3 linked regions of the Arabidopsis thaliana genome follow. The protein of the gene in region 1 interacts with the protein of each later gene in a pairwise test. Each region holds a gene or a part of one and is shown on either strand. Other genes may lie near its edges. The genes, in order: RAN2, AT5G53480 and SIRANBP.

Region 1 (9,396 bases):
AGGAAGAAACTTACACATTTTTCCATGCTTTGTTAGACTACTCTGTGGGGCAATTTTATGATGATGGAAGGCAAGCTACCAAAGATATTCTTAATAGAGGGCGTGTTCCCATTGTTACGGGTGGAACTGGATTGTATCTGCGATGGTATGGCTGTAGATTATATACTTGTCTAGTGGCTCTTTCGTATAATGTTAAAAGCAATTATAGTATACTGCAAAATCTAGAATTCATCCATTTACATGCTTTTGTTAATGTTAGGTTTATGTATGGGAAGCCGGATGTGCCTAAACCTTCTCCAGAAGTTATCGCTGAGGCCCATGATATGCTAGTTGGTTTTCAAACCGAATATAACTGGGACGCAGCTGTGGAGTTGGTGGTCAATGCTGGTGATCCAAAAGCTTCTTCTTTACCTCGTAATGATTGGTACAGACTACGCCGTAGCCTCGAGATACTCAAGGTTTGACAATTATTAACTTCAACTGTTGTCTTGCCCTTGTAGATAAATGATTTCTTGCCTGATAGGTTGATGAACTATCATTGTTTTATTTTGGATTGTATGCAACTATGCACTATTAATCTTGCTTTGAATGTTTTTTCCTGGCAGTCAACTGGATCGCCTCCGTCTTCCTTTCGCATTCCTTATGATTCCTTTCGAGTAAATTTAGTTGCTCCTGATGCTGATGACTTCCTTGAGGACGGTTCATCTGCCGATATCTCTATCCAAAACATAGAGACAGATTTGGACTATGACTTTCTTTGTTTTTTCTTGTCAAGCCCACGGGTTGCTCTCTACAGATCTATTGATTTCAGATGTGAAGACATGCTTTCAGGTAAAAATAAGTGCTACTACTTAATTAGTAATAACTTGCAAGAATACAATTGCAGCCCCATTGCATGGCACCTTACAGTAATAAGTCTTTTCTTATCTGATTCTTCTAATTATAACCCAAAAAAGAGACAATTTGCATGCTCTTTGCTGTGTCGTATGCAATTTTGTATATATTTGCTTGGCATTGCTTCTGAGTTTATCTTTCCTTGGTGCTTTGTCTCTCAACTCAGGACCCAATGGAGTTTTGTCAGAAGCTAGATGGCTTCTTGATCTTGGTCTTCTTCCAAACTCAAATCCTGCAACTCGTGCCATTGGGTACAGACAGGTGAACTCTTTATTTCCTGTACTGGGTTGTGAATAACGAACTGAGAAGAGAAGGCTTTCTTCTGTTAATCTAGTGCATAGTCTTTATAATTAGCCAAGGGCTCTGCAGTGGATTGTAGCTGTTAATTTGGCAGCATGTCCAGTTCAGTGAAGAATATGGATTTGGTTCTAGAAATTGCATGACTCCATGTTATATAACAGTTATTTTTCGGTTTAAGACATATAGCCATTACTATTAGCATATATCATCATCCACTTATACCAAGTTGGTTCAGAAAGGAAGTCCATTCTTATTTAGTTGGAAAAATGAAATACTTTACGACTTCATCATTGCAATTTATTTGTCGTACTTTGATACCGTTTTTGATCAACAATGGAAATATGATTCCTTGTTTTCAGGCCATGGAATATCTATTACAATGTCGTCGATATGAGGGCGAAAGTTCCCCTAGAGAATTTTATGCTTTCTTGAACAAATTTCAGACAGCATCCAGGTGAATCCTCTACATAGACTTGAAATATCTAGTGTATTAGCTTTTGGACGAAATAGTGATTGAGAATAAATGAAAGTCGAAGTTCTGTTTTGATTCTTTCACATTGATTCATTTCTTCACTTTTTGTCTCCTGCAAAAGTTTAAAGAACCCATGTTATCCTCTCTTATCGCTTTTAAACTAATACTTGGTTTGCTTGATACGCAGAAACTTTGCAAAAAGGCAAATGACATGGTTCCGGTGTGAGCCTATGTACCACTGGCTCAATGCTTCCAAACCTCTGGTATATGTTTAAGAGGGCTCTCTCTGTTCTATTCAGTCTCTTATATACTATCAACCAAGCATTGTGATAATTCATTGTTCTGGCAGGATTCAATACTTCAATGCATATACGATGCTTATGAGAGCGAAGCAGAGATGGTGGAGATACCGGAGTCTCTAAGAATGAGCAAAGACGTAAGAGATTCTCGAGAAGCTTCTGAACTAAAGGGGTATCGCTCCAAAAACAGGTACAAAGATCAAACATAACACTAAATTAGGCTTTCTTTTGGTTATTAAATTCTTCTTCGTTTGGTAATGGGTTGAATCTCTTAATGAAGGCATTTCGTAAGACGAGAGGACTGTTCTTCGGTGTTAGAATGGATCAGGAGTGAAGGATGTAAGAGTGAAGCTTCATGCGTGGAAAGCGCAATAGCATAAACACTGCTTCATTTTATCCGGAAAAGCCAAAACCAAAACCAAAACAAAAGTGTGTTTTGCTTATAAACTTTTTACGAGTAGACAAGATTTTGGATCATGTTCTTGAGTACACGTATGAAGAAAATATTGCACACCCTTCTTTATTCATGAGCTCATACAATTAGGAAGCAATAATGATTTCCAAAAAAGAGAAATTCAAAAGTTGTAAAATCTTATGAACCATTAGGAGTCGCATTCAAATAATTCTAACACTATTGTTCAGGTGATGACACAATCCGTTGTGAAATCAAGAAGATATGAATAAGTACTGCAAGGGAAAGACAAACTAAAATATAAAATTTGATCGTTAGAAGCCAAAAAATATGGACCCTACGATCTCGATAATATTTTTTATGACCAAAAACTCAAAAGTGAATTGGGAATTATGTAAAGCCACCTGACCTGACCATCCCCATTACGTTTTTTTTTCCTTCTTTTTCTAATAACTGTTTTTAAATTAAGTAAATATGTCGAAACTTTTGGCACACCGGAACACGCACTTTGCTCGTGCTCACCTAGAAACAAACAAATAACGTAACGTCAATACATATTGATAAACTGTTATACTATGAATTACAGACTATGATTATCCTATAATTACGTACATAAGTGTGTAAGTATTTGATATGTCGAACCAATAAGACGAGCAAGGGATATGTTAGTCTCAAAATAATGATAACTTTCAGATAAGGTGATTAAATTTATAAATTTTGCACTTTCGTTATGTTTAGTGTTATCTTAGGCTGATCAACACCTAGATTACAACATCATGTTTCCAATTAATCTTCTTTTTCTTTTGGTCAACTCATATCAAAATCATTCATTGAATTAATTAAATGCTATACACCACTCCTATGAAAAATAAACCAAATCATAGAGGTCTAATTAATGTTGAAACAATTCTCTTTTAGATATCTCAAATATAAGAAAACATAACAAATTCAACTTTTAATCTTTTACATATCTTCCAACAAACCATCAAGTTATTCTCACTTATCAAATTACATTTTTTTTGGTTATTTTACACAAAATAGTCCCATATCAAATAAAATGAAACAAAAAGGCTATTTCTCATGCAACTTGAAATATTCTCTTCTTCATTTTCTTAAAAATATTTTCATTTAAAAAATGATTTTTGGCTTGCTGCTGCTGATGTGGAATATACATTTATCTTTTTTGTTCCTTTTGATAATTATTTGCATATACGTTTTTAATTTTGTTTTATTTGCCCTTTTGATCCAAGTTTGGTTGCCCAGAAATATCAAAGAAAAAAAAACAAAGCTTTGTTGTTTCTGGCAGTAGAATCATTCATGGCTTTCTTTGCGTGTTAAACATTCACTAACCTAAAAACTAAAACTTCGTTTTCAGGTAATCACAATCACAATCTCAAATTTATTTTTTTTTTCTTTTTTTTTTAATTTGAATTTTTGAGTTTTAAGTCTCTTCATGTCCGCTTAAAGATTTTTGATTCTCTTCCCCTAATCAATTTCTCAGTAATGAAGATTGATCCTAGGAACTGAGTCATACTCTGTTTTCAATTTCATTAACATTTCAAGCCATTGTATGCTTCTGGATTTGGTTTTTTGCAATTTAGGACTTTTTCTGCAATCTAGTGATTATGAAGCAAAACAATCTGTAATCTTTATACCAATTGGTTGAAGTTGAATTTTTTGGATGTGAATGAGTCTAATGGATCTTATTGGTCCAACTTGTTTCTGGATATTTGGATGTATTTATCTTGTTTTGTTGCTTAATGATTGTGAAGCACCAGCCTTTTAGCATATGTGATGTTCAATTCTGATCTTTATAAGCAGTTGGAATGTGAAAAGATATTTACTTTAAGGTGTTTTTGAAGCAGCAATCATGAGATTCAACAAGGGAACTAAAGTCGAAGTGTTGAGCAAATCATCGGTTCCATCTGGCGCCTGGCGGTCTGCAGAGATCATATCAGGAAATGGGCATTACTACACTGTCATGTATGATCATAATGATGGTACAGAGAGGGTACCGAGGAAGAGTATGAGGCCTGAGCCTCCTCGTTTACAAGTTCTTGATGCTTGGTGTCCTGGTGACATTCTTGAGGTTTTCCAAAGTTGTTCGTGGAAGATGGCAATCGTTTCCAAGGTTTTAGGAAACGGTTGTTTCTTGGTTAGATTACTTGGTTCCTCACTGAAGTTCAAGGTGACTAAATCCGATATTCGGGTTAGACAATCTTGGCAAGATAACGAGTGGATCATGATTGGACAGGTACTTGTTTCTTTCCTCTGTGACTATATCTTTTTAAAGTCTGTTTTTGAGCTGACATTTTGTTTATTTTACCATTTGGCTGAAGGGTACATCAAGATTAAGCGCACAGACTTCAACAGGAGAACTAAGGAGAAAGGTGAATCCGAAAGGCGACTACATTTCATCTGAGAGCAAAGACAAGCTTGATGAGTCTGATGTACCTTTGTCAGTAGGTCTAAAGAAACGGACTTACTCTTTGGTTGAACCTCACAATCAAACTAGAGCTTTAGCTGCTTATCCTCCAAGGTTTCGTGAAGAAGTGAAAGAAGAAGAAGAAGATAGAGAGAGTGTTGCTTCTTCTGTTGGTAGTTGTTGCATGGATACTGATGGTCTCAGTGCTGTTTCATTCAATCCCATTGAAACCGGTAACTCTAGTGACACAGAGTCATCGTCTTGTGGCTACGGGAAGGTCAAGAAGTTGGTGGTTCCAAGAAAAGGCTCAGAGGCTGCTGATGTTCATAGGTTAGAGCTGGATGCATACCGAAGCAGTATCGAGAGATTGCACGCATCCGGACCAATCATAACATGGGAACAAGAAACGTGGATTACAAATCTCCGTCTCAAATTGAACATTTCGAATGAGGAACATCTGATGCAGATAAGAAACCTTATCTCTGACGATAACAGTACTATATACAGATAGCAGCAGCAGCAGCATTGAGAACTACAGTTTGTGTTACATAGAATAAAAACTGAGTGTAGATTGTACAAATGTCATTTTATTTTTCATTCAGGTTTTTTGATTTAATTCCAAACTTGTGAAAGAAAATTTGATCATCTTTACTCTTTTATCTTTGCGTTGGACTTGAGGAAGACTAGCAATGTATATATGATTCATGCCATGGCCTAAAAGCTATACATAAAAAAGGAGATGAGAAGATTTGTGTACGTAATTGAAACACTAGTGATTAAACTAACAATTTCAAGTAGCACAGCTAAATATTCTCCTTTTATGTTTGATTCATATGACCAAGTAGCTACAATAGTTACAAAATCTAAAATGTTGCAACTGGCAAAGTAAAAGAAAAGTGGGTAGAATCAAAGTTTTCCAATAACCGCATATTCTTTAAGGCAGAAAAAACTTGACTGCAAATTCTCTTTGGGTCCCAAAAAACAGAACAATCCAAATAATTCCCCCAATTTTGGTTCTAAAATAGACCGATTGATTTATATGTAACATCAACTCAAAAAACATCATAGAGGAAAACCACAGCAGACATTTTTGGAAGATTTTACTCAAATGCGTCATCATCATCATCGGGGAGAGGCTGAGCTGCAGCAGCTGCAAGATCGGCCTCATTCTGCTGCTGAGCAGCAATGTCAAGGTGAACCTCTGGTGGAGCAAGAGCTGGTGACTCCACAAAGTGAAGGTTCTGGTCTCCAGCCAGTTTCCTAGCAAGGTACAAGAAAGGCTTCTCGAAGTTGTAGTTGCTCTTTGCTGATATCTCATAGTACTGCAGATTCTTCTTCCTGTGGAATGTGACTTGCTTTGCCTTCACTTGCCTGTTCTTCACATCGACTTTGTTTCCACACAGAACAATCGGGATGTTTTCACACACCCTGCAAAGATCACGATGCCATGTCGGAACATTCTTGTATGTGAGCCTTGCTGTGACGTCAAACATTATTATCGCACATTGACCATGGATGCTGCAAGAAAACCGAAGATTAGCAATATATCCAGATGGAATATCAAACAAACCATTATCATTCAAGTCCCAGTCAGCTATTCCTATTGTCCAGGTAACAATAGTTGCAAACATGACATGTGAGATGGTTCTTGAATTTCACAACCTAACCAGCGCTAATCAAAACAATGCAAACTTTAATAGATATTGAGATCTTAACAGATTACTTCAACAACATACGATTCCTATTCCCACCGTCCAGGTAACAAATCGGTTGCCAATTTTACGCACAAACCAACCAGAGCTAATCCAAACTATACACACTCTAGATTGAGTATACACACAAACATATCAATGGAGATATGTATACTTACTAGTATCCATCCCTAAGGCCACCAAATTTCTCTTGTCCAGCAGTATCCCAGCAGTAAAAACGGATCTTTCCGCAGTTTGTGAAGAAATCCAAAGGATGAACCTCCACACCAATAGTAGCTGCAACAAACAAGATTAGGACTCAACATCAGATGATGTTCACAGAAATTGTGCATTCACAAGCATCTTTGCTATACTTACGTTCATACTTCTTCTCAAACTCCCCAGTAAGATGTCTCTTCACAAAGGTCGTTTTCCCTGTACAAAACACCAAGAGCAATCATAGGTTTAGCAAGAACTAATCAAAAACATTGAACCATACTAAAACTGAGCCAATGAAAACAACATTCCGGATCATCTAAGAATCGATATCCCAAAGATCTGCTCAACGAAGGCCTAGTCTGTAAGGTTCTCTTTAAAACCAATCAAACATTGATATTATCAAAAACCAATCGTACAAATCTAATCAGCACATCATCAAAATCTCAAATCCGTCTCTTAAACGAGAATGCTTTCAGATGGGGACAGTGAAAAGACGATCAAATTTCAGAGATCACAAAAAACAATAGGTCAAAAAACACGGCGAAGAATACTGTACCTGTGCCTCCATCACCAACGATGACGAGCTTGAAGCTAGGATAATCTACGGTTTGTTGGTTAGGTAGAGCCTGAACAAGATATCACAACAAAATTCAGTAAAATCCGAAAAAAGAAACATCAACGAAATTAAGCGATCTCGTGAGATCTAAATACTACAAGACGAAGAAATCGGGAAAAGAGAAGAGAATGTTCACCATGTGAGAGGAGAAGCGAAGTCAGACGTTGATGTCGTCGAGGTTTAAGAAGCGATGCGGCGAGAGGGACTAGGGAGAGAGATGGGGTTTTAATAAGGAGAATTTTGGGAGGTTTTGGCTTAGGTTTGACGCTATTTTTTCCACCGTTAGATTCCATCTTTTGGCTCTCCAATATCTACGCAGCTTTCTGCACCGTTGGATCTTTTTTTTTTCAGCTTTAGGTCCTGGTTTTGAGTTTTGACAAAATAAATAATATATTTATTTCCTGTATCGTATGTGAAGTTTTGATTTTATTTGTAGCATAGTTTTTTACTAACAAATCATTTAAATAAGGATTTATTGTCCGTAACGGATAGTTTCAAAATTTCAAGTACTCACTCACATGACATCCATCTAATGATGCCTTTCAAATTTAATGGTAACATATTAATACCAACAATATTTCCAGAAATTAATATACACATCGATAAATTCTTAAGCTCAAACTTGCAGAAATTGGTCTTAGAGCTCACGGTTGAAGAAAATGTCTGGAATCACGGATTGAAATCGGTCGTTGATTTGAGGGAAAGGGTTACTTCATTCTTCAATGCAAGAATGGTTGCCAAACAAAAAGTTATCCGATTATTATTCTACAAGTTCTGGTGCGGATTGATTAAGAAGATCAAGTTTCAAAGAAGAAAAGGAAGAGGATTGCAGAAGAATCTGCAAAGCTAGAGAGATCGGGGAAGGCAAAGAACTTAACCATTGTCAATGCAGGTCAGGTCTCCCAACAAGATCTACTTGCAGCTAATTTTACCCAGGTTTATATGACATCACCTGGTAGCTAAAGAGTGGCATCTGAAATCTAAGAACTGGCAAGTAATAGGAGGTAGAATAAAGTTTTCCAATCAACTAATATTCTTGCGAAGAAACAACTTAGCTTTGGATACCATCAGAAGAACCATCCAAAAATACATACCTAATTTTTGTTATAAGAAAGACCGATTGATTTATATGTAACACCAAAACAACATAGAGAAAACCAAAAGGAACAAGCAAGAGCTTCCCACGGCAGACATTCTAGAAGGATGATTTACTCAAAGATATCATCATCGTCATCGGGGAGGGGTTGAGCTGCAGCCTGTAAGAGCTCGGCCTCGTTCTTCTGCTGATCAGCAATGTCAATGTGAACCTCTGGTGGAGCAAGCGCTGGTGTCTCCACAAAGTGAAGGTTTTGGTCTCCAGCCAGTTTTCTAGCAAGGTACAAGAAAGGCTTCTCAAAGTTGTAGTTGCTCTTTGCTGATATCTCATAGTACTGCAGATTCTTCTTCCTGTGGAATGTAACCTGCTTTGCCTTCACTTGCCTGTTCTTCACATCAACTTTGTTCCCACACAGAACAATCGGGATGTTTTCACACACCCTGCAGAGATCACGGTGCCATGTCGGAACATTCTTGTATGTGAGCCGTGCTGTGACGTCAAACATTATTATAGCACATTGACCATGGATGCTGCAAGAAATTCAAAGATGATTAGCTATACATCCAGATGGAATATCAAAATTAAAATTCAAGTTCTACTCTATTTGTCCAGGTAACAAAATCAGTTGCAAACTATGCATACTTCAAAACATACCAGTCTTATACCCATTGTCCAGGTTAATCGGTTGCCAATTTCAAATCCTAACCAGAGCTAATCCAAACTAAGCACACTCTAGATTGACTCTAGACACTAACCTATCAATGAGAAAGTAAAGGGTCCACACTTACTAGTATCCATCCCTAAGGCCACCAAATTTCTCTTGTCCAGCAGTGTCCCAGCAGTAAAAACGGATCTTGCCACAGTTTGTGAAGAAATCTAATGGATGAACCTCCACACCAATAGTAGCTGCAACAAACAAGATTACGACTCAAAATCAGAATCATTTAAGAGACATGAAGAACAGAAATCTGA
Region 2 (11,793 bases), about 15 Mb from region 1:
AATGAAATAAGATGATAATAAATAAGGATTTATTATGTCTTGTTATTAGACACTAATCCTTTCACTAGCGGGTTTCCGAAGGGTATTTTACACTGAGCTCATCCTCAAACAAAAAGAGTCAGAATGGAGGATACATCACATACATATTCATATATGATATATAGATATTAGTGCATGTGCTTATATATATGCTACTATATATATAATGACAGAGATAGTTCTGTGTTGATGATTCAACCCTTGCCTCCGGGCCTTCTCCTTGGGTCGTGTTTAGGGTTGGGTCCTGCGTCGTCGTAGTCCGCTGTCGAGTGGAACATCAACTTCCTATGACCCATCTTCTTCACACCCACCTCCTCACTCTTTTTAATTATAAACACATAAATTCTTGTCAATATTTGGACATTAACAACATTTCTAATGTTGATAAGAACATATATAAACGTAAAGCATCTACATGTATGATGTATACCTTGTAAAGCATGGAACTCTCATGCATCTTCGCACCGTCGAGCTGGATAGAGCCTTCCACTATGGCTAAAAGAAAACACTCTGTTAGCGGAATATACATTGTTCTTTAAGTGACTTATTTATTTCAACCCATACTAGTTAGTTAGATGTGTTTTAATTTTGGAGAAAGAATGGAAAAAGTGTTCACCAATATAATAGTAATTAATAATCAATGGTATTAAGGTAGTTTAAGGCACTAGATTCAACAACGAAGAAAAGACTAATGTTCAACAAGATAATACCAAAAGCTGATCTCGGACTAAGATGGATGTGTTGGGACGCAAGGTTGATAGTCATCCCTTAAAACAAAGTTAAAAGACTATAAATTGAAAAGGATGGAATATATGAATATCAATTATATGTTTACCTAATGATGAAGAGCATATAATGAGAATGAGGAAGAGTAGAGATAGGGGTTCAATCCTAAGAGGCATATTATATGGTTTTTGATGATTACTCTTTGTTCGTTTAGGGGAGAGAATGCAACTAATCAATGGAAAATGAGGACAAAATGGATTTTCATATGAGAAGATGGGGAAGGTTAGTTCCCATTTTATAAACGGTCAAGTTAATGTGGTGGAAACTGTTATGGTCCATGTATAATATTAGTCGTAATGGTGATGATGATGACTATGACAATGATGATGACCATGACTAAGATGGTTGGTTCTGTTTATGACAATGAAAATATGTAAAGCTCTTATCAATATAACTTTTTAAAATAAGAATATCACGTAGATATCGATTTTTTTTATATATCACAAAACAATTATCAAAAAAAGGTGAAAACAGTGGTGAGACTACTAACATCAAAATGGTGATGATAGTAGCAAGAACAAAAATGAGAAGAATAAGAAGTTATTGGGTTAACGCAATGAACCTACAGGCCACAAACCCTAGAAAAGGTTGAAAAAGTCAACTTAACTGTTGATTGTGTTACATCTCCCAAAAAGGAACACTTAACGCTTACCTCTATTTATGCTTGTGGACAAAAATCGTATATTAGCTAGTAACCTCACTTTTTTTCTTAACACACTTTTCCTTATAGCATGACATTGTTCAAATTTCAAATTCTGTATATCGTTTTTATCTTATGATTATGTTAATTAGACCGTACTAGATATACTATAGACAAAAGTCACAAAACTTTAACTACCAAACAAAAAGTTGACGTTTCTTTTAATTAGCCTTTTTTTCTTCTGGCAATCAATTTTTGATGATAGATAAATAGTTTATCTATATTGTTAATTTGCCAGATAGGAAAATGTAATTAGGAATAACAAGTTAAATCTGAGTATAGATTACTAACTGTAAATGTTTGTGAACCAAGTGAAGTGGGAACCATCAAATACTTGAATTAGAGTAAGTTGTGCCCTAAGCCATCCGAAAGGTTATATATGTGGATCAAATCATAATGAAAAAAGGTTTGTTTGATGCAAGAAAAGTGACCTAATTCATTAACTTGAGTGGAAGTTCATCTCTTGACCATATAAATTTTCATTATATCCTTTGAGTTTCATTAAAAAAAGAAAACATTTTTTTTTTATTTTACAATTTTAATCGGTTTGATCTCAAAACACTCTCTATTATACTAGTTCTTATTTCTAAGTGATGTTTCATTTTAGATGATTTTAGTCAAAACCAATATATTTTCTTAAAGGAAAAGTTTCATTCTGGTTACATGATCGATTTTAATCTAAGTTTTAACTTTTAAGCCCATTGTTTTCACCACTTTTTCCCATACAGCTGTAATGTATCATAGGTTCGATGAGTGCAGCACCACGTGTGATCTTAAGTCTACTTATTGACGCAAAATTTTATTGGAAATTGAATTCTGCTAAGATAATTGGGTCCATTATCAAAAGTAAAGATGGAATCATACCAAACTCGTACGTAATTATTGTAAGTTTTCAATGCTGTTAATGAATCAAAACGAAAGCGAAGATTTGTATCAAGGGTACACACTTTTCAAACAAAGACCCTACAAATACCCAAACTTGAACACACTTATTAATCCAATGATTATTTTCAAAACCTTTTAATCCAATTTCTGTTTGAAATTTTGGTTGTTATATTTAAATACACCATGTACAGTTGACATATTAGAACAAAGATCAGTACTAGTAAATTAAAGTTTAAATGTGGAATCAAAACATTTTCCTTGCGGTCAATGTAAATTTTACAGGGATCAAAATAGATAGACTAAGTTCAGTAAACTTCGATCACATAAACCAACATGGTAGGCAACTCCTAGACAGGGGAATAACGTAAGTAATTAGGAAGTCAAAAGATGGTTAGGGCAGATTTTAAAATCCGTGGTACCAAACACTAAATAATTTGATACAAATAAAGAGAAATAGTGGAACTAATCCTTCCATTTCGGCCTTCACAACTTTATAAGAAGTCAACTAGGATTGAGACAGACATAGCGAGTGGCCTGCAAAATGTATCAGAGAAGTGCATCTTTTTAAGTGACCCATTATTATAGTGAGAGACCACTATCCCCCAAAATCTTATTTTACAATTAATAAACATCGTTCCTCATAACATTATGTGTTTTGACCTAAAATCCATAATTCTACTAAATCCCAAAAACTAAAGAACTTTTACCCCCAAAAAGTCACCATATGAATGGTTATACTTATATATATGTGTGTGTGTATTGCACCATAACCCATATATTTTAGATTAGAAGACTTTATAAATCCCCTCTATAGATCCTTTCATATAAAAAAATGGTTTCGCACTTCAACTTTCTTAACTGGTTAATTATTTCCATCTTAAAATGTTTTCTCACAACCTCCAAGTAAATATCTGCAGTTTTCTATAAAAAATAAAATGAAACAGATTCTTTTTCAGCATCTGAATATGATAAAAACTAATATAGACTACACGTACATTAAACCAGCTAAACTGCTTAAGTAGAATCGTTGTACTATCTAAAACATTATTCACTTAACAGTTAACACATGTACGTGCAGCTCTTCTGTCCGAAGACTATGCATGACTTCACAAAAAAAAAAAAAAAAAAGGGAAAGTTCGTGAGTAGGGAAATAATCAATGTGTCGGCAATTATATGTTGCGTTTAAAAGGAGTGATGAATAAGAAACCAATGAGCCACTAAATTAGCAATGTTTTATTGGGCAACAACGTACGTGTCTTAAGTCTTAACTTCTGTTGTCCAATGTCAACTACACAGAAAGACGACGAAACGTACATCTATTAGTCTTTGACAAAAAAAAAACGTACGTCTATTAGTTAAAAAAAAAAGAGAACAAAAACACAATTTCAATACTAACATAGTTTACAACGCGAATAATAAATCACGAGACACCCACAACTAATAATTTCACTACTTTTCTTAAATATTTCCTTCGTTTTAAATTTTTAATATACAATTCATCTCATAAGTGTAGTTTTTTTTTCTGTAGAAGACGGGAGACTAAAAATTATAAGAAAAATTACAAACTTACTTGCCTTAGGCGCACATACCCAATAACATCATCGCTTAAGAGCGTATCAACATTAGAAGGAACAACATCAAAAAATGAAAGCCATCAGGCAATGAGAACGCATAGTTAGATCTATAAATGTAGTTTGAACCAAAGTTCTAGTTTTTATCCATTAAATTAGCTTATATATTAGGTTTTCGTTGTCCTACTAAACGAATTAATTTTCTTAAAAAACATCCGTTTTTTTTTTTTTTTCAGAGTTTTCTTTAATGGCGTTCATCTTCTAAGAAAGTATTTACTAATCATTATTATTTTTAAAAATGTATTGATCCGTAACCTTAAGGTAAAATGTGTTAGATAATAGCTATTGAAAGAAAAATTGGAGTTATTTTTTGTCGCAAGAAGTTCATGCTTTAATCAATAATTATGTTTCTTTTGACTAATAACTTGGATCGTAAGATTTTCTCCTTTTTTTGGCAGTTTCAGCTGACGACGCTCATATATCTTTCGGTGCTATTTCAGTATTGCATTTAAAGACTAAAGGTAAAGTTTAAAGTCGCAAAATAAAGTATTAACGCCGTAATGAAATTATTTGAATATGAAAAAAATCGTCGCGGACGACAAAAATGTTTTTTTTTTTTGTGTGTGTATCAGTGTATGTGATATATGTGGGTGTGCTTGGACAAGTCCTTTGACAATAAAAAAGGCCCACTTCGTATTACCACCATTCTTTTTCAACTCCCAATTTCAATTCAGAGTGGCGTGTCCTATTTCTCTTGGATGTTTAGCCATCATCTATCTTTTATGTGTTTTATTGTCCATTTGAGTGAGATTTAAATGGGTATGTCATCACAATGAAAAAAAAAAAAATACCAACAGAACCAACGTTTCTCTCGCCTAAATCATCAATTCGAAAAAGATATGTCGAATGAATTATGACATTATATATTTAGTTCAAGAGAAAAATTCTCGAGACGTCAGAAACATGGTTTGGGACTAATACATAGAACCGAGAGAAACTAATTTAAACCATAACTTGAATGGTCTAGAATGTTTCAAATACACATGAAAACATTTTTCAAAATATAGGTTCGGTATCAGTTGCATTTGGCGTTTGGAAAACCAAAAAAAAGCAACACATACAATCAAAATTGAGGTTTCCATAAACAGCGTGAATGTGAAATGTTCTTCGATCTCTTAACTTGACTCTTTGGAAGCAGAGTAAGGCAGGACGTTTTCTCCTATTAACATGTGCCCTTTCCCATATAGTTCGAGCCAAATCAAATAATGGATTCTAAACGATTGTAAACAGTTCCATAGTAAAATGAATAGATGTGGACCTCTTTAAGACCCTAAGACATGACACCATATAATAAAAATGTTCCTGTATGTGACATTTGAAACTTGATTGCAAACAAAACACAAGTATATATGCAAAACCCCCTAAACTGCATCATAGCAAAGAGAAGATAGACAGACATGTGAAACTTCTTTATATAAAAATAAAAATGTGAATAATGCTTTTAATCAAACATACAAACCCCCCCAAAAGACAAAATGATGATGCAAAGACTGCAACTAACCAAATAATAAAAGAAAACAAAAGAAAAAATCAAGGGATTGTCCTCTAATAATGCCCCCACTTGATAAAAACCTGAGACCTCTCCCTCCTCAAGGGGTTGAAGAACATATGAGAGAAAAGAAAAAACAAGAATGTATTATGAGATGTTCCATGAAACCTTTTTTTTTTTGGTATAACTTTGTCCCAAAACCCACCAGAAAACGACCATGACTCACTTCCTCCTCTTTCTACTCCCGGGGATTTAACCTTACCCGGGAAACTTTCACCCGTGACTCTTCCAGTTTCATTATTTACCCCAAAACTCATCATTCCCCACATCCACGACTCAACGATTCCCTGACTGACCCCAGTTATGCTGATGATGCAAATGAAACTGATGCTGATGATGCTGATGTGACTCGGATGTTGCAGCTCTACCCCTCCCCCCGACCGACTCAACCCACCCAGAGATGCATGCAGACTTTACTAAAAAGCAAAAGGAATTTTCTTTCTTATAGGCAAAAGAAGAGCCTTCAAACAGATATGGCACGGGTTATGGCATGCTTCGCCCATTCGGCTGCTTCTTTAATTGTGTGGTCTTCAGAAGACAAACATTCGTTTAAGAACTCTTTACTTGACACTGACTGTTGTATCAAACCACCCACATGACTCCCTAGTGTATCTGCTAAATCTCCTAAGACCCCAATCGCTGTCTTCATCACCACCTCGTCCCTGTCCCAAGGCAATTTTACCACAAAATTAAACAACTGCTATGACATAATAGAAATTCAGTTGGGTCGTAACCAAACTTACATGTCTTTCTCCATGTATATACTGTCCAAAAACTGGAGGATATGGGGTGCGAAAGGAATCAGGAGCTGGGTTTTGGCGGAGTTCTTGAAACCTTGAAATATGCCTGAATAAGCCTCAAGGATTCCGTTTCTCAATGAGTTTGTGTACTCCGTCATTTCATCATCAGCTCCAGCCGAGTGAGCAGATAACTCTGCGGCACTCTGAAGCATCGGCATTGAATACCTCCAGTACTTATCAAAATCCTCACCGATAGCAAGTGCTATGTCACCAAAACAGGAGAATATCGGTGGCTTCACTGATCGGTGCAATTGGTTGCTCGACAAATCTTTCAGAAGCTGTGTCATAATCCCATCGCAATAAGGTAAAATCTTGTCCTCCAATGCTCTGCAGACATCCCCAACAACACCAACAGTAACAGCACACACTTGGTATTCTTCAAAGTTTTGAAGACCCATCTCCAAGTACTTATAAAACTCAGGCATGTATTTGGCAAAATTGGGACCTGCTGCATAAGCAAGAGCACCAATGGCAAGCATGGCTTCCTCATGTGCAGTTGCACTTCTACAACCAAACACCCTCAGGAAAAGTCCCATCATTTGGTCTGCATACTCCATGAACTTAGACTTGGTTGGTTCAGATCCTAATTTCTGTATGATGACCTGCAAGCATCCACATAGAAGTCCCTGCAACTCGTTTTGTTTCTCCCTCTCATCCAATGAAAGCTTTTCCCCTTCCAAAGTATTGTGAAGCTCCATCATTATCACTGGTACTAATTGCAGAACCATGGTAGACGTTTCATCAGTTGAACACCTGACAACTTCATTCAATGCCTCATATGCTGCAGTCCGCAAGCGTGATTCAGTTGCATCCTCTCTGTGTGCAACAGCTAAAAGTGACTTAATAATTTCCTGGAAGAAGGGTGTTAACGGAGAACTGGGACCGATATCCTCATAGCCTTGAGCAAGGAAGTACAGAGCCCCACAAGCCTTCTCGGCAACATTAGGCGCATCATTCATGCTCTGGATGAGTACTGTGATTATCTGCTGGCAGTTTGCCTGATTAATAATAGGTGTCTCGATTGTTGAACCATGAAGGAACTCAAATATCCGACCAAGGGTCCATGCGGTTGTGTCTTTCACATGGTTGCTTGGGTCATTTGTTAGAGCATTGAGCATAAATGTTAACGCTGCGTTAACAATTGCCATCAACTTATCGGCAGAAGGGCCTTCCAAAATGGAACCAAAAGCATAAGTTGCAGCTTCTCGCTCTCTCCAATCAGGCTTTGATATTTTCTCTTCAATAAACGGCATGACATGTGGAACAATGTCATCTCCAACTGCCCTAGCAACCAAACCGAGGCATGTCCCACCTGCCATTGCAATATTCCAAGCCCCTTCATCCAAATCTTGATCTTCTTCTTGCTTCAGAAGAGTCTCCAGCAGTAGAGGCACAAGACCAGGGAGAGCCTGCTTAGTAAAATAAAAGCATGGAACATCAGAATCCCCAGCGAACTCACCACCATATTCTTCTAAGATGTCAATCTCTTCGTCACAAATAGAACTCCAGAACTCAATTGCCTGTAGAGCAACAGACTCGTCATCTTCTCTTACAGCCTTAGCTGTGATGTTGAATATATCTTGCATGTAATGCGCCAACTTCTCATAGTATGTGGAAGCGATAGATACCAAACACTCAAAAGCTGCCTGCCTAATTTTCACCTCAGGGGACAGGGTTGCTTCACACACAACTCTCATGATATAATCACGCTCCATGTCGTTGTTGAAATTTGCTTGGGCGAATCCGAGAGCCATGTATAAAGCACGGGTTGCAGCAAGTCTAACATCAGTATTACCTTCAGCAGCATTCATACCCTGAACAACAGCTGTGAGTATCTTATTTACATGCTCCTGTTCAACAACATCAGGTGACACTTCTTCACATAGGTATCCAAGAGTCTCCAAAGTGGCTTGCTTGACATGAGCAGGTAACTGGTGAATATTTGAGAGAAGAGACACTATGAGCTCAGGCCACTGCTTCTGTGGTAACTCAATACCTGCAACCTTAGCAATGACCTGAGATGCAGTCGAACGAACATCAGGCACAGGTGCCGACAGTGTCTTCAACAAGAAAGCTCTGATCTGCGACTTTGTTGACATGTCTAGAGCCAACCATCTCTGAACAAGCTCATACTTCCTGTGTTGTTCCTTAGCATCAAGAGCATTTTTAAGGACTAAACCAGCTAATTTCCTGCTATCTACTGGCTTCTCATCATTCGCAAGCTCTCCAGCAAGCGACAACAAGAAACCCGCAAGGTTTTGCTCCTGAAACTGCTTAAGACTTTCTTCCGCGTGCTTACGTACAGTTCCATCAATCGACTGAGCATTAATGAGCAACTGCGTAACCTCCATTGCCATAGGTTTATCTGCAACAGAAACAAACAGATTCAGCAAAACTGAAAATAAAGAAGAAGTAAGACAGAATCAGTAAATTAAGCCAACAACATGAAGAAACTCGTCAACGATCCAAAAAGCCATAAAGGTGAAAGACTACTAAATCACTATGAATCGAAAAAACCATGTAATAGCAATAAGAGATCAAAGCACGAGCCATTGACGCTTAAAAACACTGTCAGATTCAACTATAACAGCCAGAACAACAGATCCGAGCACGAAATCGAATATAAAACACGAAATCAAACTAGTTACTAAGATGACCAAATCAACAAGTTAATAGAACAAATGAATCTAACTAAAAAATCGAAAAGCAAATCTCAGATTACGAACGAGTTCAAATCATAAAACAGTGAACAAATCGAAACTAAAGTTGGAAATGGATGATTGAACGAATCGAGATCGAATCAGGAAAAAAAAAAAGCGAATTGGGAAGTGATGAATCTGAAGATGGATCTTAGGGAGAAAGTTGAATAGATGAAGTGAAGAAGGGTAACCTAGAATCTCGGCGGCGGCCGATCGGATAAAGCGGAAATCGGGGACTGGAGAGGACAAACCCTAGAAGCCCAGAAGGAAGAGAGAGAGAGAGAGAGAAGAAAAAAATCAGTTCCAGCGAAAAAGGGAAGAGAGAGAGAGAAGAGAAGAGAAGAATCGGATGTGAAGATGGACTTTAAATTTTATTATTAAACTTTTAACCAAATATTTATATAAACAAATAAAAAAACTGTTTTGAACACAAATTATGTAAATCTATTAATTTTGAAATTGTTTTCCAAACTTATATATATTTGTACTCAATTGTATATTTAGGTTTTGTTCAGTGTATCCTAATATTTTTATAAAAACTATATATAGGAAAATATCTTTTAAAATTACCCAATTAAAAAAAAGTTGTATAAATCTTCTAAATATGAAAATTTGTTTCCAATCATAATTGTTTGTTCAGTGTATCTTATTTTTTTCAAATAAAAACATAAATAGAAAAAAATCTGAATTACCCAATATATATATAAAAAGGGAAAATATTTTTCTTTATGATTTTTGCACACTAAAAATATATTTCTGATTAAAGAATTGATATAATCTGGAGTGATTATGTCGTACATCGCGTGTTGGGTGGTCCTTATCTGAACCCCACCTTATATATTCTCATCGTTAATTAATCAACGGTCCGGATTGTTTTACAGCGAGATGCGAAGAAGAAGATTTTTTTTCTTTTCTTATTCCGAAGGTACAATTTGTATCATATTTAAAATACTTATAAATTTTACAAGTAATCAACAAAATTGTTTTACAGGTATGATAATAATGATTCAGATGGCTGAAAAAACATGAAAGGGTCACGAACGAAAGAGAGAAACATTATACTAACAAAAAAAAAACTATTATTGAGTTATGATGATTGATGATGATGATCTCTCTGGGTTCAATATAGTAACCAATAAAAACTAGAGCTACTATATCATATGTAACTTGTGTTGTTGTATGTTAAAACATAAGCTTAAGAGGAAGCAAAGAGGCTCAGAGGAAATGTAAGAAAAACACAAGCATCTAGCTTTGACACACAATTTTAAAGACTTAAAAAACACTAATTGGAATCCTTCTTCTCTCGCATCCAAGACCATTCTGATTCACAGAGATCAAGAGGCGAGTTTCCGTCTTCGTCTTTAATGGTTGTATCAGCTTTCTGCTTCACCAGAAACTCGGCGAGTGCTTCTCTTTCGCACACAACAGCATAGTGTAGAGAGGTTTGGCCTTCATTGTCCTGCACAAAGTTTGTCAGCGACAAAAACATAAAAGTCTGTAATTGAGAGAAAGAATTAGTTTAGGGGGTTTTGGTTATTTATTTACTTTAGCATTCACATCTGCGTTCTTATCAACCAGAGCTTCAGCAACGTTAAGATGGCCACGGTCTATAGCCCAATGCAGTGGTGTTCGACCTTCACTATCTGACATTTCCAAGATGGAGAAACTGTTAAGTTTCCAAACCAGATCCGAACATTCTGTGAAAATGATACAAGACTACTAACCTCTTGCATTTACGGGTATGCCATTTTCTATGCATTTCAATAGATTCTCGACTTCTCCTTCTCTAGCAAAGGCGTGTATGGCGTCAATCTTCCTGGAACATGGAGTAAGAACGCAAGAATGAACAGAGCTTCTACTATGATTTAAACTAACACATGATTCTTTGATCTACCTAAGGTGAGTATTATGATATATACATTCCTTCTCTGATCTAGTCAGCTAGTCATATAGAGAAACTGAGAAAAGAAAACCAAAAGTTCATAGATGAATCTGTAACTAATTGCTTAGGAACCTTACAACTCATTGTCAGATTCCTCTTCGTACACCAATGAGCTAAAAACCGGTCCCATGGGGCCTGCAGCCTCACCACTCCGATTTCTTCGTTTCTAATAGTCCGCAACGAAGCAAACAAGCCAAGAAATAAAGACAGATTTAAGAACGAAAACAGACCATCCATAAACAGTCCAAAGAAATGGGAATAACAGAAGCAGGTAAGAAGACAACTAACCGAGCCACCTTCAACCCAAGCTGGGTAAAGCTGAGTAACAAGGTCGATATACTTCTCCATCGCTTCCTCAGGAGGCATAGCACCCAATTTCTGCCATGCTTGCCTAGAACAAAAAAGATCATAACAAATCTCAGTCGATCAAAATGCATCCCTAAGTTACCAATCAACAAAACAACAAAAGCAAATCCTTTCGGTACTCACACAAAGCAAGATACATCCAGGATGAAGAATAATCAGTACATCACAAGTAAACATGATTAAGTAACAATCTTCACAGTCATAAGATTTGAATCAGATCACTAATCAATACACCAACAAAAGCAATCCTTTCCATACATTAGCAATGAAAGATACGAACTTGGTGAAATCAAAATAATATACATCCATGATCAAGAAACATCAGTACATCACAAGTAAACATGATCAAGCAATCATCTTTCACAGTCCCAAACATTTGAATCAGAGAATCAATAA
Region 3 (9,391 bases), on another chromosome or scaffold:
GAGACAGAATAACAACGTTAGAGTCTGAAGTCATTCTTAATTTCTTACATTTTATTTTTTATTGTTTTCTAAGCATTCACTGTGAATGATTCACATATTCTTTTATTCGTTTTTAACTTCATTTAGTCATTTGAGCTGTTATGATACTTGTGTATACCATCTTAGACTGTCTTTACTCTCTATTGATAATCCTTATAGCCTTATAGGTCTTCTATGTAAAAACTCGTTAAGGCTTGTAAGTTGTATGTGAGTACTTTACCACTCAATACATTATATATTACTACTCTTTTATGAGATAATGTGGATCGACTTAAATGTGTAGGCTAGTACTGGTTTGTTTCAAGAGTTCATAAAATTCATGTTTTGAAAGTTTTTTACTTTTACGTTTATATGGACGCGTATTTCTTAACTACGTTAGTTCATAAATATCTTAGGCTCTTAGCCATTACCTTAATCCTATAAAATATTGAAAAGTCTGAAAGTTTAGTACGGTATTAAGTACATAGTGCAATGTCATTTTCTTAAGTTGTTTTCCAAGTGGATTCTCCTAGACATGCAAATTGGAAAATATGGTATGGGTCCTAAAAATCTTCAAATAATATCTTATGTTTTGGACATTTCTAGTAATTTATTCACCCACACATATATAAAAGGTGAAATTAGTTGCCCTAAGAGGATATGGAAGCAGTGGTGGACCGTTCAAATAGCACTTCACGTTCGCGGAAGGTCAAAGCTTGGCCAGAGAAACAACAAACAAAGTACATATATAATTTAGTTGCGGCGGCATTTTTTTTCTTTTGGAATTAATGGAAGAAAGGTTTCTGTATTTTGAAATAATTCAAAGATCAAAGAAAGATTATAGTGCATGCATAAAAGTTCGAATTCTAATGGTTAGCTAAATCATTAGCAAGCTTTGACCAAACTTCAATCGTAGTTTCAAAACACTAAATTGATATGTTATCAAAACTTTGATCTTTCTACCACTACCAACCCACTATAAATCCCAAGAAAGATACTATTGTAGTGATCTGGCTATTAACCATCCCAAGATTAATTCCCAACCAACGATCTCCTCAATTAAAAGTTAAAACCCTATCTTTTATTTTCTACCTTCCATCTTCAACTCGATCTCCGTGATATCTTTGGATAACGTTTTTGAGTAAATTCTTGTGCTTCCTTCATGATCCCAACCAAACAAAGAATAAAAACTAATATAATATTTTCACTATGCGTGGAGGTTGATCAAGCACGTCAATTCCCAATATGTGTGTTCAGACAACTCGTTAATATGTCAAAGAACGTGAGCCAACCGCTTCATGCCACGTAAGTTTCCAAATGGACCCCCATTTTTAAAACCCAACCCCTTTCGGCAACCTCTTCCTTCATCTCCAACCCCTTTGACAACTCCGATAATTTATTCGGATATCATCTACTTCGCGTATATATTCTGTTACTGTACACCCTCACCTTCTTTATGTTAATTGTTTGACGAATATAAATTAATTTATGTCCATTGCTTATGATTGGCTAAGACATGGTTTGGATTCATGAATCCTTGATAATGATTTGTACGTACGTCGACTACCGTATATTCCATGTCTGATCATGTCTTCAGGTCAACCAAATAGAAACATACCAGAAATAAGTCAATAAATCAAGCGTTCCAAATCTATAGGCACGTTTTTGTTCATTTGTCTTCTCCACGATCGGTGATCCGATCACTTAAGTAAAGAGACGATTTTTTAAATGTTGAGGTTATAAAAACGAAAACGATTGCGTGAAGCTAGAGGGTGTGTGTGATTTTATCTTTGCTGAGTAAAATATTAGCGGACAAGATCAAACCGCAACTTGAGTCTTGGTGGATAAGGATTAAGGAGACAGGGCAAGTGCATTGTTTCTTAAAAACATCCCAAGAACTTCTCCAAGTGTCATTAGGAGTGACATAAAACATTTTCTTCTAATTTCTAAAATGATCCTTTTTCTGATTTATTTGTTCTCTTTTCAAAACGACTAATCATTCCATAAAAGTAAAAAATTTGTAAGGATTAAGTCTAGATTTCAATAGATGTATATATAATTAAAATTGTTAAAATCCAAACCGACCATCGAACATGGTATAATTTGTTCAAAAATCTAATGATAGACTCGAAAGTTTGTGTTGTACATGACATATCCACGTGGGAAATTTTACAAAGATGAGACTTTACAAATCGAAAAGACAAGTGTACAAGAATAGTCCATGTCAGAAACAAAAAAAATTGCAACTTTATTTCACGTTCACATTTTCTGTTTTGCAGTTCCAAAACACGCATATAAATAGCTTCGTGTTGCACAAGTACGACATATGAAAGTTGGCACACATGGAGAAACAGAGCATCAGAAACACTTGTTCTTCTTCTTTAATGTTATCCTCACCATCTTCTTTTTGGGTTCGTGGTGCGTGTATCGGCAGAGGTTGTTTCGGTGCAGTTAGTACGGCGATCAGCAAAACCAACGGTGAAGTTTTCGCCGTGAAATCCGTGGATCTCGCCACGAGTCTCCCCACTCAATCAGAGTCTCTCGAGAACGAAATATCTGTCTTCCGCTCGCTAAAGCCTCACCCTTACATCGTGAAGTTTCTCGGCGACGGAGTCTCGAAAGAAGGAACGACGACGTTTAGGAATCTCTACTTAGAGTATCTCCCAAACGGTGACGTGGCTAGTCACAGAGCCGGAGGAAAAATCGAAGACGAGACTCTGCTCCAGCGTTACACGGCGTGTCTTGTCTCTGCTCTCCGCCACGTACACTCTCAAGGATTCGTTCACTGCGACGTCAAGGCGAGGAACATCCTCGTCAGCCAAAGCTCCATGGTCAAGTTAGCCGATTTTGGGTCGGCGTTCAGAATCCACACACCGAGGGCTCTGATCACGCCACGTGGAAGTCCGCTTTGGATGGCTCCGGAGGTGATCAGACGAGAGTACCAAGGTCCGGAGAGTGACGTCTGGTCTCTCGGCTGCACGATCATCGAGATGTTCACTGGGAAACCCGCTTGGGAAGACCACGGAATTGACTCGCTGAGTCGAATCAGTTTCTCTGACGAGTTACCGGTTTTCCCCTCGAAGTTGTCGGAAATCGGCCGTGATTTCCTAGAAAAGTGTCTGAAGCGAGACCCGAATCAGAGGTGGAGTTGCGATCAGCTTTTGCAGCATCCATTTCTCTCTCAGTGTCACAACTCATCTCCGACTGAGTCATCTCCGCGTTGCGTACTTGACTGGGTCAACTCGGGGTTTGACTTAGAAGAAGAAGAAGAGGAAGTAGGGAGATCAGAATTCGAAGACGCGGCGAAGGCAATAATTTGTAATTTGGCGACGACCGGAGGAGTAATTTGGGAGTCAGATGGTTGGGTGGAAGTTAGATGCCACGCTTCGGAAGAGGAAGGGACAACAATGGAATATTCGGGATCCACAAGGGTAGAATCGGAATATAACACATCATCGGATCCAAACGATGACGTGGCTGGTGACTCGGCGATAATTGACGTTTCTATGTCTCAGAATTTACCGCCTGGAAACGGGGGATCGGCGGCGGCGCTGCCATATGAATTTGTGGTGGTTTTACATTTATTAATGGAAATTATGGTTTATACTACATGTATCTTTAGGGAAATTGTTCTCACTATGTATTTGTTGTATCAGTATAATCAAAGCAATAAACTCGAAACGTTGTCTTTTAATCACAGCCTCAAGTTTTGTTTGTTTGCACATGTGATTCGGATCGGACAAAACTATCTTTTACGCGGTGAGATGAGATCGAGTGTCTTAATTACGAGCCATTGCCTTATATTGATAACTCTCGTTTACAGCCAAATAGTTGTATTTTAATGTGAAAAAATATTGCGACAAATGGTTTTGGTTCGTAAGCTGGTGGAAGACTCAAGAGGCCAAAAGAGACTTTGGTTTTATGCTTTAGAAGACTTTTGATTCATCCTAATAAGTATTCGGATTTTGGAGCATTTAAATGAATCATAGAGGGAACCGGACCGGTTGAAGATGGTTGTTTGTTTCGACTAGGCCTGAAGGACCAAGGTTATGCATGTACGATTATGTATCAAACTGAACGAAGTCGTTACATAGAGTTTAGCTCAAGCATATCATCATATTCTTTTTTCGATCTTTAAGATTTTTCTCTAATCTCTATGCTATAAATCATTAAGATTTCTCTAAAAAAGGATTAATTTCCCTTGAGATAAATAGCTTTAAAAATAACCCAGATACAATGGGTTTATATGGGCCATATATATTTTTTGTCATAAGAAATCGGCCCATAGTTAGCTTCAATTCAACGCCGTATAACTATGAGTCGTTCCGATTTCCTGTGTTGCGAAACCCCCAAATTCTCTTCTCTCTATCTCTCTCGCGTACGCCGCACCGTAGCGACCAATTGAATCCACGAGGAAATCTCAGTAAATACTATGGCGACCAACGAACCCGAGCACGAGCACAGAGACGAGGAAGAGGCCGGAGCTAACGAGGATGAGGACACCGGAGCTCAGGTCGCTCCGATCGTTAGGCTTGAGGAGGTTGCCGTCACTACCGGCGAGGAAGACGAAGATGCCGTCCTTGATCTGTAAGTGTTTTTCTTAATTGGTGTTTATAGTTTTTCTGATCTAGGTCAACTGGATCTGATCGAATTTATAAGGTTTAGCTTTTGGTGTGTTTGACTGAATTTTTGTTTGTGAATCTAAAGGAAATCGAAGCTTTATCGATTCGATAAGGATGCGAATCAGTGGAAGGAGAGAGGAGCTGGTACTGTGAAGTTCTTAAAGCATAAGAACACTGGGAAGATTCGTCTCGTTATGAGGCAATCTAAAACTTTGAAGATCTGTGCTAATCACTTCGGTATAATTTCTATTTGGACTACTTTGTGTTGTTTTTGAGTTGCATCTGGATCTGTATTTAGGTTACTGTTTCCTTATCTAGTCTTATGCTTCTGATATTTCTGCAGTTAAATCGGGCATGAGTGTTCAGGAACACGTTGGGAATGAAAAGTCATGTGTGTGGCACGCTCGTGACTTTGCTGATGGTGAACTCAAGGATGAGCTTTTCTGTATCCGATTTGCTTCTATTGAGAGTGAGTATGAAACCGAATTTTGTAATGGCTTGTGTTTTGCCTTATTTAGTCTCAGTTGGTTTGATAGATTCACGGATTAGATTACTGATGGATCTTGACCTTAGCATTGCTATATGGCTACTTTGTTAATTGGAGGTTCTCAAAGCTTCCATCATAGGCATGCGTTATTGGGTTCAGGAAATATCAAAATAAGTACTGTGGCGGTTAGGTTGTGGTATTGCATTGTAAAGAGATAATATTGTTCTTGAGGTGGTCAAGTATGTATTTAGGCTGCAACTAATTTGATATGCCAACATGGTCGACTGTTTCTTTTTTTATTTTGGGTAAATATTATCAGTAGTTTCTGAGCTGTTGATCATATTAACCGGGAAAAGTAGAGATGCTTGTGGGTAATCAAATCTTATTTTCCTTGTCAGATTGCAAAACATTTATGCAAAAGTTCAAGGAAGTTGCTGAGTCTGAAGAAGAGAAAGAAGAGAGCAAAGATGCCGCTGACACTGCTGGCCTTCTTGAGAAATTGACTGTGGAAGAGACAAAAACGGAGGAGAAAACCGAAGCGAAAGCTGTGGAGACGGCAAAGACTGAAGTGAAAGCAGAAGAAAAGAAAGAGAGCGAGGCAGAGAAATCTGGTGAAGCAAAGAAAACAGAAGAAAGTGGTCCCTCAACATAAGAAGCGTCATCATTTAAGTTGCCAAATCCTGGCGAGGTAATTAAGCCTCGAAATGTTTTGATGCATCATGAGTCTACCATTGTCTTGGCACTATCTATCTATACATGTTTTGTCGAGTCATATCAAGTGGTTGGGGGATCGCTTGGGGTCGGGTTTTACTGAATGCTGAGTCGTTATGGGTCTAATAGTTTTTGAGTCTAAAGTGTCGGGTGATATGAGAGATTTGGGTGAAATATTTTTTCATGTTGGTTATCTGAAAGAGTACATTGGTTTCATTGTTTTAAGTTTTCTCATGGATCCTTTTTGGATGGTCTTATTTTGAGGATACAAATGTGTTTGTCCATGGACAAGAATCAGAAGTCTCCATTTTTTTTTTTTCAAAATTTAATGCATGTGATTTTTTAATCTTAAGGTAATTGCCAATTGTTTGACAAAAAAAAGGTAATTGCCAATCTACTTTGCTCTCTTGTGTTAGTCGATGCTAGTCTTGACCCTGATAAAGATCCAAAATGTATATTAACAGTATTCATAAAATTCTTCAGTTATAACGAACTGTTCACGGAAAAAAAATGACATTGTACTATACTGTGCTAAAATTACCAAAGCATGATTTATATAAATCATATCCAGTAAGACCATATGTGAATGAATAACAATGGATTATGCTTAGGTTAAGATTTTATTAAATTTATAACACTTTTAAAATAAATTTGGAATAATACAAACATATAAACCATTCCTATAACACCATATTTAAACATAACAATGAATTGCTTGGATTTCAAACTTTATTAAATTTGGATTTTAAATTTTAATTTGATTGAATTATACCCCCTTAATTGGATAAATTCAAATATGTCAACTTTTTTTTTTTGTAAGATTTTTTTATGGAAAAAAAAATTGATTATTCACTAAAAAGATGACAGGTTACTTATAATTTAATATATGTAAACCCTAAAAAGAAGAAAATAGTTTCTGTTTTCACTTTAGGTCTTATTATCTAAACTTCTTTAAGAAAATCGCAATAAATTGGTTTGAGTTCTAACTTTAAACACATTAATATTTGTGTGCTATTTAAAAAATAATTTACAAAAAAAAAAACAAATTGACAGAAAATATCAGGTTTTGTAATAAGATATTTCCTGATAAATATTTAGGGAATATAACATATCAAAAGATTCAAATTCTGAAAATCAAGAATGGTAGACATGTGAAAGTTGTCATCAATATGGTCCACTTTTCTTTGCTCTATAACCCAAAATTGACCCTGACAGTCAACTTGTACACGCGGCCAAACCTTTTTATAATCATGCTATTTATTTCCTTCATTTTTATTCTATTTGCTATCTAACTGATTTTTCATTAACATGATACCAGAAATGAATTTAGATGGATTAATTCTTTTCCATCCACGACATCTGGAAACACTTATCTCCTAATTAACCTTACTTTTTTTTTAGTTTGTGTGCTCCTTCATAAAATCTATATTGTTTAAAACAAAGGTCAATAAATATAAATATGGATAAGTATAATAAATCTTTATTGGATATTTCTTTTTTTAAAAAAGAAATAAATCTTTTTTGGATATTTTCGTGGCAGCATCATAATGAGAGACTACGTCGAAACTGCTGGCAACCACTTTTGCCGCGTTTAATTTCTTTCTGAGGCTTATATAAATAGATCAAAGGGGAAAGTGAGATATAATACAGACAAAACAAGAGAAAAGATAAAGAAAATGGGTTTGAGAAGAACATGGTTGGTTTTGTACATTCTCTTCATCTTTCATCTTCAGCACAATCTTCCTTCCGTGAGCTCACGACCTTCCTCAGTCGATACAAACCACGAGACTCTCCCTTTTAGTGTTTCAAAGCCAGACGTTGTTGTGTTTGAAGGAAAGGCTCGGGAATTAGCTGTCGTTATCAAAAAAGGAGGAGGTGGAGGAGGTGGAGGACGCGGAGGCGGTGGAGCACGAAGCGGCGGTAGGAGCAGGGGAGGAGGAGGTGGCAGCAGTAGTAGCCGCAGCCGTGACTGGAAACGCGGCGGAGGGGTGGTTCCGATTCATACGGGTGGTGGTAATGGCAGTCTGGGTGGTGGATCGGCAGGATCACATAGATCAAGCGGCAGCATGAATCTTCGAGGAACAATGTGTGCGGTCTGTTGGTTGGCTTTATCGGTTTTAGCCGGTTTAGTCTTGGTTCAGTAGGGTTCAGAGTAATTATTGGCCATTTATTTATTGGTTTTGTAACGTTTATGTTTGTGGTCCGGTCTGATATTTATTTGGGCAAACGGTACATTAAGGTGTAGACTGTTAATATTATATGTAGAAAGAGATTCTTAGCAGGATTCTACTGGTAGTATTAAGAGTGAGTTATCTTTAGTATGCCATTTGTAAATGGAAATTTAATGAAATAAGAAATTGTGAAATTTAAACCTCCCTCAATCTTAAACGTTATATCTTTTAAACGCTAACTTGTTAAAGTGACCAATGGATGATTTAATCATCATGATTATTATTATTCTTCATTGGCCAATTATTGTGGGCTTATTAGATTCAAATTTGGTTCTCCTCTGTTGTGTGTTTAGACTATCAATTATATAAAAAAAAGACTAATGATGGTAAAACTCAGCGTTTAACTTATCTTTTTTTCTTGAGAAATTTCTAATAAATTTGAAATAAAGACCAAAATAATAAAATCGCAATACATATGGTTTTCAAAGATTTTGCATACGAAATATTACAAAATAAACTTAAACATAGAGACCAAAAGAAACTTAAACATAGAGTTATTCATTTATTATACTAACTCTAATTTCTTAGTTTTCAACATTAACACAGTCGTTGTTTAGCTTGATCTTCTTATTTGGTGGTTCAATTTTAAATTCAATATGAAATTTTTAATCCTTTTCAGACTTTGTCCTCTTTCCTCCGAAAGACTATACGTCCATAACTTCTCGACTCACCAGCGAGTTATGGAGAAACTCGGAGAAATCGGTAGTGCAACAAGGGCAAGTCATGATGTTTAACTTACTTTGTAACAAAAGATAATCTCACCTTCAAAGCTGTGATTTAGACTAAGAGTGCCATTTTGGTCAATTTATGTTCAAATTATTTTACATCATTGGATCAGAGAATAAGTTAGAGTTGAAAAACAAAATATAAATTAAAATTTGATATTCGTTAATATATTAACAAAATTAAAATTAATAAATAACACATCAAGTAGTATATTAAAAAAATTATATTTACTAAAGTGTTTATATAAAAAAAATTATAAGGCCAACAATTTTATGTTTTTAAGATCCGAAGATGATTGATAAAAGAATCCAGATTTTTCTTCAAAATATATTAAAATGGGCTTTTTTCTAAATGATTATTTATTATTTTGTTATTATTATTTTTAACAAAAGTGCAAAGAATTTTCAAAAAGTAAAAAATTAAAAAAATTCTAAAAATACCCAAAATTTCTCCACATGCATAACAAAAAAGTCCTTTAAAAAAAAAATTATTTGTCTTGGTCAAGGGCTGAAGACATTAAGACCATAGCCTGTGCTAATCTGCATGTATTTGTGTGATCTGTCGAATAAAAAGTACGTGAATTTGCTTACATATTG

Evidence for each region.
Region 2: the proteins of RAN2 (region 1) and AT5G53480 interact in a two-hybrid assay, tested with the Arabidopsis thaliana proteins (one study listed by BioGRID).
Region 3: the proteins of RAN2 (region 1) and SIRANBP interact in a two-hybrid assay, tested with the Arabidopsis thaliana proteins (one study listed by BioGRID).

Annotation. Positions count from the first base shown.
Region 1 is NC_003076.8:6,760,888-6,770,283, reverse strand, and holds RAN2 (RAS-related GTP-binding nuclear protein 2), read right to left. Parts: upstream 7,716-9,396; 5' UTR 7,468-7,715; coding exon 7,465-7,467; intron 7,339-7,464; coding exon 7,269-7,338; intron 6,929-7,268; coding exon 6,872-6,928; intron 6,791-6,871; coding exon 6,673-6,790; intron 6,321-6,672; coding exon 5,903-6,320; 3' UTR 5,601-5,902; downstream 1-5,600. Other genes in the region: IPT9 (isopentenyltransferase 9), read left to right, coding at 37-145, 260-458, 606-831, 1,061-1,173, 1,554-1,648, 1,854-1,929, 2,016-2,155, 2,246-2,345; AT5G20030 (Plant Tudor-like RNA-binding protein), read left to right, coding at 4,248-4,631, 4,717-5,313; RAN-1 (RAS-related nuclear protein-1), read right to left, coding at 8,537-8,954, 9,213-9,330. UniProt on the Arabidopsis thaliana protein: GTP-binding protein involved in nucleocytoplasmic transport. Required for the import of protein into the nucleus and also for RNA export. Involved in chromatin condensation and control of cell cycle.
Region 2 is NC_003076.8:21,710,970-21,722,762, reverse strand, and holds AT5G53480 (ARM repeat superfamily protein), read right to left. Parts: upstream 9,519-11,793; 5' UTR 9,281-9,518; intron 8,756-9,280; 5' UTR 8,748-8,755; coding exon 6,334-8,747; intron 6,253-6,333; coding exon 6,054-6,252; 3' UTR 4,885-6,053; downstream 1-4,884. Other genes in the region: AT5G53486 (uncharacterized protein), read right to left, coding at 234-359, 470-534, 750-806, 875-941; ACBP1 (acyl-CoA binding protein 1), read right to left, coding at 10,372-10,548, 10,635-10,732, 10,814-10,905, 11,109-11,197, 11,320-11,422. UniProt on the Arabidopsis thaliana protein: Acts as a negative effector of drought tolerance. Involved in the regulation of stomatal closure and in the abscisic acid (ABA)-mediated pathway that lead to drought tolerance.
Region 3 is NC_003070.9:2,188,748-2,198,138, reverse strand, and holds SIRANBP (Pleckstrin homology (PH) domain superfamily protein), read left to right. Parts: upstream 1-4,302; 5' UTR 4,303-4,450; coding exon 4,451-4,605; intron 4,606-4,725; coding exon 4,726-4,877; intron 4,878-4,983; coding exon 4,984-5,109; intron 5,110-5,525; coding exon 5,526-5,779; 3' UTR 5,780-6,460; downstream 6,461-9,391. Other genes in the region: MAPKKK13 (mitogen-activated protein kinase kinase kinase 13), read left to right, coding at 2,361-3,860; AT1G07135 (glycine-rich protein), read left to right, coding at 7,515-7,982.